2 linked regions of the Canis lupus familiaris genome follow. The protein of the gene in region 1 interacts with the protein of each later gene in a pairwise test. Links are inferred from orthologs where the notes say so. Each region holds a gene or a part of one and is shown in the gene's direction. Other genes may lie near its edges.

The links.
Region 2: the proteins of DAZAP2 (region 1) and EXD3 interact in binary tests that used the Homo sapiens proteins (3 or more experiments, as listed by UniProt). The two-hybrid records come from large-scale screens. The link is inferred for Canis lupus familiaris from reciprocal best matches to the Homo sapiens genes DAZAP2 and EXD3.

Annotation. Positions count from the first base shown.
Region 1 is NC_049248.1:43,029,781-43,033,770, forward strand, and holds the start of DAZAP2 (DAZ-associated protein 2), read left to right. Parts: upstream 1-1,189; 5' UTR 1,190-1,330; coding exon 1,331-1,343; intron 1,344-2,381; coding exon 2,382-2,500; intron 2,501-2,929; coding exon 2,930-3,098; coding exon of another isoform or gene 3,099-3,175; intron 3,176-3,990. UniProt on the Homo sapiens protein: In unstressed cells, promotes SIAH1-mediated polyubiquitination and degradation of the serine/threonine-protein kinase HIPK2, probably by acting as a loading factor that potentiates complex formation between HIPK2 and ubiquitin ligase SIAH1.
Region 2 is NC_049230.1:48,294,001-48,298,217, forward strand, and holds the start of EXD3 (exonuclease mut-7 homolog), read left to right. Parts: upstream 1-1,411; 5' UTR 1,412-1,484; coding exon of another isoform or gene 1,485-1,658; intron 1,659-1,818; exon of another isoform or gene 1,819-2,078; intron 2,079-2,456; coding exon of another isoform or gene 2,457-2,565; intron 2,566-3,516; coding exon of another isoform or gene 3,517-3,599; intron 3,600-4,217. Other genes in the region: NOXA1 (NADPH oxidase activator 1), read right to left, coding at 736-869, 1,068-1,202, 1,485-1,658, 2,457-2,565, 3,517-3,599. UniProt on the Homo sapiens protein: Possesses 3'-5' exoribonuclease activity. Required for 3'-end trimming of AGO1-bound miRNAs.

The DNA of each region.
Region 1 (3,990 bases):
AAAAAAAAAAGAACATTGTGTTCTGGGCAGCTGGATGGCTCCTTCAGCCCAGGGCGAGATCCTGGAGGCCTGGGATTGAATCCCACGTTGGTCTCTCTGCATGGAGCCTCTTTCTCTCTGATGGATAAATAAAAAAAAAAAAAAAAAAAAAAGAAAAAAAAAAGAACATCTTGTGCTGGGGGCGCCTGGGTGTCTCAGCAGGTTAAACGTCTGCATTGGGCTCAGGTCATGATCCCGGGGTCCTGGGATGTGCAGCCCCTGCATGGGGCTCCCTGCTCGGCGGAGAGTCTGCTTCTCTCTCTCCTTTGCCCATCCCTCTGCCGGTGCACTCTCTCTCTCTCAAATAAATAAATAAAATATTTTTTTTAAAAATGTCTTGTGGGGCAGCCCAGGTGGCTCAACGGTTGGGCGTCCGCCTTCGGCCCAGGGCATGACCCCAGGGTCCTGGAATCGAGTCCCACGTTGGGCTCCCTGCATGGAGCCTGCTTCTCCCTCTGCCTGGGTCTCTGTGTCTCTGGTTAACAAATAAACAAAAATCTTAAAAAAAAAAAAAAAGGTCTTGTTTAGCTCCATCTCTGTACTTGCGCAGAGGCGGCGTATCTTAAAATGAAGGTTGCCCGGGGCACTGCTGCCTTAGAGGGTGGCACCCCTGCCCTTAAGGACAGTGAGGGTAGGGACGAAGGGAGAGAGAGGGAGGCTACAGGAGGCGGCAGGCCGGGCCCTGCGCGGGGCCTCCCTCGGGCAGAGGGGCAGCGACGCAAGTGCAGGCGGGCACCTGCCGGCGGGACGGGCAAGGCGGCCAGGACCCACTGACGGCGCCGCCAGCCCGCGCAGTCCAGGGGCCGGGGCCGGGGCCGGGGCCGCCGCGCTCCGCAGGTGAGGTCACCTTGAGCTGCTGCGCAGAGGTGGAAGCAGGTTCCGGGGAGCGGCTTCAGCGGCTCTGCCCCCGAGCGCCCCAGAGAGAGAGAGAGAGAGGAGGGGGGGGGGCGGAAAAAACAAAGGCAAAACCAAAAAAAAAAAAGCCAACAACCGTGTTTGGAGACAATACCTGCATTCGGTTTTCTTCCCGTCGTGGGACGCGGGTGGGGGTGGGAGGGCGAGACCCAAGGGGCGGGGCCGCCGCGCGCCGGGGGGGCGGGGCCACGCGCGCCCGCCCTCCAGCTACTGGACGCCGCGCGGGAGGGGCGGGGCTTCCGGTGGCGGCGGCGCTCGGGCGTCGGGTGACGCGAGGCGGACGGGCCGTCACGTGACACGGAAGTGACTACGAACAGGAAGAGGACGAAAAAAATAACCGTCCGCGACGCCGAGCCGAACCGGACCCGCAGCCACCATGAACAGCAAAGGCAAGGGCAGGGGGCGGCCGGGGCCGTCGGGGGGACAGTGCTAGCCTGGAGCGAGCGGGCCCGGAGCCCGGGGTCGCCAAGCGGAGGCTTGGGGCGCGCTGCGCCTCCCTCCCCGGCCGGCTGCGGCCCCGGGGGCCGCGCCAGACGCCTTCGTCATCCCCGAACTGCGGCTGCTCGCTGCTTCCCGGCCCTTTCCTCCTTAAACTCTGTGGCGCAGTTTGGAGCTGCGGGCTCGGGTGGAGGGGCGGGGGGGTGCAGGGGGGAGGCTTGTCATGATGGGCATCTGCGGGAGCAAATGGGGAGCTAGAGCAGGGATGCGGGTCGGCCAATGGCGCGCCGGCGGGGGCGGGGCTTCGCGCTCCGGAACCAGAGGCCGGCGCCCGGGCTTAACCAGTGCGGCGCCGGCGGGCGGGCCCCGGGGCCCGGGGGCCCGGGGGCGGCGGAGGGGTCTCCCTCCGCGTGCCTCGCGCGGCCGCCCGAAGTGCCCCCGGCTCCTGGGACTGTGCCGGCGTCGGGCCCCACACGGTCCTCCGCTGTGCCTCAGGACGGTTCCCGTTATCCTCCCTCGGGTCCCGAGGGCTCACGTCCATCGCGCGCTGTATTCGGAAGGCGACCTTGAGTAGGAAGCGGCGGGGCAAATAACCCGCAACCTCCGTGACCCAACGAGGTCGCGGCTCGGTCCAGCCAGGCCTGTGGCGACCACCCGGAGCCGGGGCAGCGCGTCCCTGCCGTTGGGCACGGGCAGGAACGGGGCCCCACACCTGCCCTGCATCGATGGAGAAGCTCGGGTGTGCCAGTGGGAGGACTGCCCCGGTAGGAGTAGGGATAAGGGTGCGAAGAGAATATTCTCTCGGCCCCAGAAATCAGCCCCCACCCCCACCCCACCACCCAGAGCGGTCTGTCTACACATCTCCAGCTTGCTGCCCCTAGGGCAGCTACCCAGGATGCTCTGCCCCATTTTGGTGGCTCTGTGTGGTAGGCAACATGCATTTTCTTTTTCTTTCCTTTTTTTTTCTTTTTTTCTTTCTTGTCTTCCAGGTCAATATCCAACGCAGCCAACCTATCCCGTGCAGCCTCCTGGGAACCCAGTGTACCCTCAGACCTTGCATCTCCCTCAGGCTCCACCCTATACTGATGCTCCACCTGCCTACTCAGAGGTGCTTCCAGTTTACTAGACTTGAACCCAGTGCTCTTGGGTCACATCTTCAGTCCTTAGCTAATAAGCCTGAGTCCACGCATATCTATTCAGTGTCCGTAAATAGGAGAAGGGAGGGCTCACGTGAATAGTCTGAAACACTGTACACTTCAGCGCAATTTCTGTTGGGGTTGAGACTGCATCATCTGATTGTTTCATGTTTTTTTTTTTTTTTTTTTTTTGGCACCGGGTGAGGTTAAGAAGATGAGCTTGCGTTCCTTGAGCCTCACGTTAGCTATGGCAGGAAGTGATGCAGGAGGGTACTGAGTGGCAGTGGAAAGGCAGTTTGTGTAACTCAAGAGTGTAATCTGCACAAGGACAATTAAGAATTGAGCGTAGAAGGGATCTAAAATCGGAATGTCATAAAGTAACCTGTTGCCTTCTCTTCTAGCTCTATCGTCCGAGCTTCGTGCATCCGGGGGCTGCCACGGTCCCCACCATGTCAGCTGCATTTCCTGGCGCCTCACTGTATCTTCCCATGGCCCAATCTGTGGCTGTTGGACCTTTAGGTTCCACAATCCCCATGGCTTATTATCCAGTTGGTCCCATCTATCCACCTGGTTCAGCAGTGCTGGTGGAAGGAGGGTATGATGCAGGTGCCAGATTTGGAGCGGGGGCTACTGCTGGCAACATTCCTGTGAGTATGACCTTATCAGAACAACTCAGCTCTTACGTAGTTTAACTTTCTGAAGAGATTACATATTCATCCTTTCACCATCCCTGGGTAATAGCTGTGGTATGGGTATAAGCACTGACATCCAGTAGTTGGGCAGAAAGCAGTTGAGGGGGCAGGAGAACTGTGGCAAGTCAGTAGCATCTGGCACATTCCCTGGGGCCTGAGTTAACCAGATTCCTTTGTTTTCCTATACCTCTTTAAAGCATTAGGAGTCCTGCCTGCTGCTTTTGCAGTTCCACTTTGGTACTGGTCTAGTAATACTCCTTATTCAGCCTGTAACATTTACTTCAAATTTGCCTTCAGTATGGCATTCCATTAAGAAACGTGATAAAAGAAAAACGTGATGAGTAAAAATGGAGAAAGACACATGAGATAAGCACTGTGTGTTATATGTAGGCAACTTGAATTTAAATAAAATAATAATTTTTAAAATCCTGAAAAAAATGAAGAAAGCATAGTCCCCTATTAAGTGGCATTTAGAAAGATACTAGAGATTTTAGTTATGTTGCCTGCTTAGCTCCCCCCTCTATAAGAATTAGAGCCCAGGTGGTCCTTGCCTCAAAGCCATATACCTGAAATGAGGTGAGAATGCCTTTAAATGAGTGGTAGGCTCTTTTCCTGTCTGTACCTTTGGGTTCACAGAGAATATAGACCTGCTTTACAACCCACGTTGGCAGAACTAGCTTTAAGATGTGATTGGTCAGGACACTGCCATCTTTCTAATGGATCCTGTTTCACGTGTGTCCACTTCCCTTGTCTCAGCTGCCCTCTGCCCA
Region 2 (4,217 bases), on another chromosome or scaffold:
GCCAGGACGGTGGGAAGAACACGTCTGACGAAGGACAACATGTGCAGATGGTTTCAGCCTCCTTTTTATACAAGTTTTGAAATATCTTTATTTCTCAGATGCCTGGTACTGTGAGAAGCAGACTCTGAATTGATTCATTAATGCAGCTCGGAGTCACCTGGCCCCAGCCAGCAGAGGTCATGAAGACGAGGTGTGTGGGGCATGTAGCCTCACCAGCCATGTACATGGTGGCACACAGCACACTGGCCCGCGGTGACCTCGGGGGGCTGGGGCTAATCCAGGGCCACCAGCTTGAAACCCAGGCGAACTTCCCTTTGTGTACACAGGTCCCTGTATCCCACCCCTGCCCCCAGGGCTGTGATTCTGGTGACGCTGCCTGGCCAGCTGACCTCAGCCCTACCTGCGATCCCACTCTCTGGGGCAGAGATGCAGGGAGACACAGAAACACAGAGACTCAGGGAGGTGCTGAGGCCAGAAGGGTGTGGCTGGGGGGGCAGCACCACTTAGGTGCCCCTCTGCAGCCAGCTTCTGCTGGGTTCTGCCTGCTGCTTCTAAGAACCCAGGATCTGAAGCCCACATGGAGACCCTGCCCCCGACTCAGAAGTTCAGGCATGTCTGCGGCCTAGGGATGGCCCTGCGCCTACTGTCCACCCACCCACCGAAGGCTCCCTAACAACAAGGACCCTTTGAGCTCACCCCCCTGGCTGCTGCTGACCCCTGAGCACCCGGGGTTACCTTGGCCTTGCCCAGGAAATCCACGGGTTCCAGGTGCTCCACATGCCGCCTGTGAGGCCGAAAGACCTCACCCCTGGGGACCTGCCGCAGCTGCAGGGTAGCCTGTTTCTGGAGGGGGTCCAGCCAATGCAGACCTGAGTATTTGACAGGGCTGTGGCCTCAGGGACCCCCCACCCACTTCTCACACCCTGAGAGACTTCCCCAGCCCCCACAGCTGGGCACAGGAGCACCTCCCTCTAGAGACTTCTTCAGCTCATACAGTTGGTCTGGGGGCGCTGGGACAGATAGGAGCCCTGGACGTGCCCTAAGGGGGCCTGGCCTGCTCTCCTCACCTGCACTTGGGCCAGGGCAGCATGCAGGTCTTCCCCGGCCCCCTCTGGCCCCTTGCAGAGGGCTTCCTCTAGGCTGCCAGCGGCCTCAGCCCACAGTCCCAGCGCGCACTGTGCCGCCCCCACGTTGAAGAGCACCTGGGAGGGGACGAGAGGTCACAGCCCTCTCCCTCGCTCGCTCTTCTGCTCCTGCCCCCCTGGTCTCACCCGGATCGGCTTCAGGCCCCCCGCCCCCGCCCCTGATTCCACCCCAGACCCCGCCCCAAGCCCCGCCCAAGCCCCGCCCCAGACCCACCCCTGGCCCCACTCCCGCGCCCACCGCCTCCAACCGCCTCTCCTGGCCCCGCCTCCAGCCCCGCCCTCCCCCGGCAAAGACCCCGCGGCCTCCCTGGGGGCCCGCCTCGCCGCGGAGCCGCGGGCCCGGGGACTGGCATCCGGCCTGTCAGCAGGTGCGGGGCTCTGCCGGGCCGACCTCGGTCTCCAGACCCGCAGCCGGAGAGGTAGGTTCTCTGCTCCGAGCATCAGGGGTAGGTTGGGAGCTCCGGGAGCGTCCTGTCCGCCTCCGCCCCCTTCTGCGCCACCGACCGCGCGGTCCTGCCCGGTGCAGGAGTCCGCGCTGCTGTCGCAGGAGCCCCGCTCGGGCCTGTCCCCTTCCTCACCCGCCCCCGCCCCCGCCCCCGCGTGAGAAGACGTTCTGACAGACAGGTAGGGTCGGGTTCCGGCTGTGGCCGGAAGGACACCAGGACACGCTGAGTTGCCTGGTGCTCCAGGAGGCCCCGCAGACACCCGCACCCCCCCACAGCCGCTGTGAGGGTAGCAGGTGCTTGCCCAGCTCGACTTTGTCAACAGAACCAACCGGTTCTTCCGCGCGCTGCGGTCTCTGTGGCCTGCCTAGCAACGCACACTCCCAGGGCCAGCTGGCCACCCTGGAGATTCTGCGGGGCGTGGTCACTGCCAGGCCAACTGCCCACGCCCAGCCCTCTGGCGGTGGGTGCCGTAGGCTAGGGAACCCAGGTGCCTGCAGAACCCCCTGATAGGACTTTCTGCCATCTGTTTATTGAAGCACAGGTCCTCTGGAGAAGGCTCCTAGGCAGCACTGCTGGGAGTGCTGGGGGTGTCCTCTCCATTCCCCTCCTTTGGCGTCAGCCGCCTGGACAGCCCAAGGTGGAGGTGCTCCCTGCCTGTCCCCTGCCAGGGGCCCATGGTCAAGCCATGCTTCTTCCTGACCCCATCTGCCACTCCCTGCTGCCTCTCTGACCCTCCCTGGCCCTCCTTCTGGCAGTCTCCCAACTCTCCGTCCCTAAGCTTCCTCGGGGTGGGACCGTGGCCCGTAGGGGCAGTGGGGCACCACCTTTGGAGGCCAGCTTCCTGTGCAAGTCTGTGCAAGCTCACCTCCCAGGTCTTCAGCTTGAAGCGCAGGCCCAGCTGCGTGTAGTCGATGGCCGCATTACCCCTCAGCTGCGCCAGGGCCAGCCGGAAGTCAGACAGGGCCTCCTGGAACCTGTGGGCAGTGGGGGAACAGGGGGCGGGGCTCTGAGGCCATTGGGGAAGGGCCCAAGCCCTGTCCCAGCCTCCCTCACCCAGCTCCAGGACACCTGCTAGGGGCCGTGGTGGCCACCCAGGTCCTAGCACATGGTGGGCATTCAAGTCTCTACCATTGTATCAAGGGATCAATATGCAGATATGGCTGTGGGGTTACAGAGGGCACCGGGCGGCCTGGGGTGTGAGGTGAAGCTAGCTCTGATCCAGCTCTGCCTTCTGGAAGGCTCGCTGCCCTTCCTGGGGCCCCTGTCTGCCCAACCGTGGCTGCATAGAGTGCCCTGAGCATTTCCCTCCTGCTTCTCGGGACCCATGTCCCCTGGGGGCCTCCCTCTGCACAGACCTGCTGGAAGGAAGCTCCTCAGCCTCCCCTAGGCAGGCCCCTGGCTCCATGAGAGGAGGAGGCTGCCCCCAGAGTCGGCCTGCCTGGCATGGGGCCATCTGTGGGGCTCATCCAGGGGCTAGGTGAGGGAGTGGGAAGATGAGCCTATCCTGCAGAATGGTTCCTTCTCTGGGAAGGACCACGGGAGAAAGAACCCTGGTGAGCATTGAGGACCCCAACCAGCTCCATGTCCTGGGACACACCATTCCTGCAGCCCTGTTTCGGGGTCCACATCTGCAGAATGAGTATGATCACACCATCCCTGCTACAGTAACAATGTGGTGAGGAGCAGAGGAGGGGATGTCCGTGAAAGCGCTCCATGAACCTCGGCAGAGATGAGGCTCACCATGCGGCTCTGCCCTGCATCTTCTGCAGCAGGAGCACTGTACCCTGCCCATACTTCCCCGGGGCTATACAGGAGAGGGTTGGCAAGGGGGGGTGACCCACAGGGAGAGCACGGGGGGAGTACAAGAATGGACTGTGCAGAGAGAAAGGGGCGTCAGAGAAGAAACAAGGCATCCCTGTGCTCACCTCTCCAGCTGGAAGTTGGCCACACCTCGCTGGAAGAAGCCAACAGCCATGCATGTGTCCTTGGTCACTGCTTGGTCAAATGCCTGAGGACAAAATGCCCAAGGATCACCCTTGTGTCACAGACAGTCCAGGCAGATGGCCAGCAACAGGGGGCCGAGGCATTCCACCGGCCCTCGAGCCGGCCACACATCCAGGGGTCTCCAGAGCTGGTATCTGGGTGCATGCGTCCCTAGTCAGGTGCCCTGAGCTCCTGAGGTCGAAGAGCCCAGTGAGGTGTCATCATAAACCACTCTGTTTACCATGAGGATGACGGGAAACAACAGAAGGAAGTGCTCCAGCACGGTCACCAGTCACCCCGGGGCTCCAACTTATGCGACATTCTCGTCTTTTTGAACTCCTATTTTTTTTTAAGATTTTATTTATTTATTCATGAGAGACAGAGAGAGGCAGAGACACAGGCAGAGAAGCAGGCTCCATGCAGGACTCGAACCCGGGAATCCAGGATCATGCCCCAGCCAAAGGCAGGCGCTCAACCACTGAGCCACTTGGGCATCCCTAAACTCCTATTTCTGATAGTTCGTACAGAATGACACACTTGTTATCTTTTTTTAAAAAAGATCTTATTTAGGGGGGTCCCTGGGTGGCTCAGCGGTTTAGTGCCTGCCTTTGGCCCAGGGCTTGATCCTGGAGTCCCAGGATCA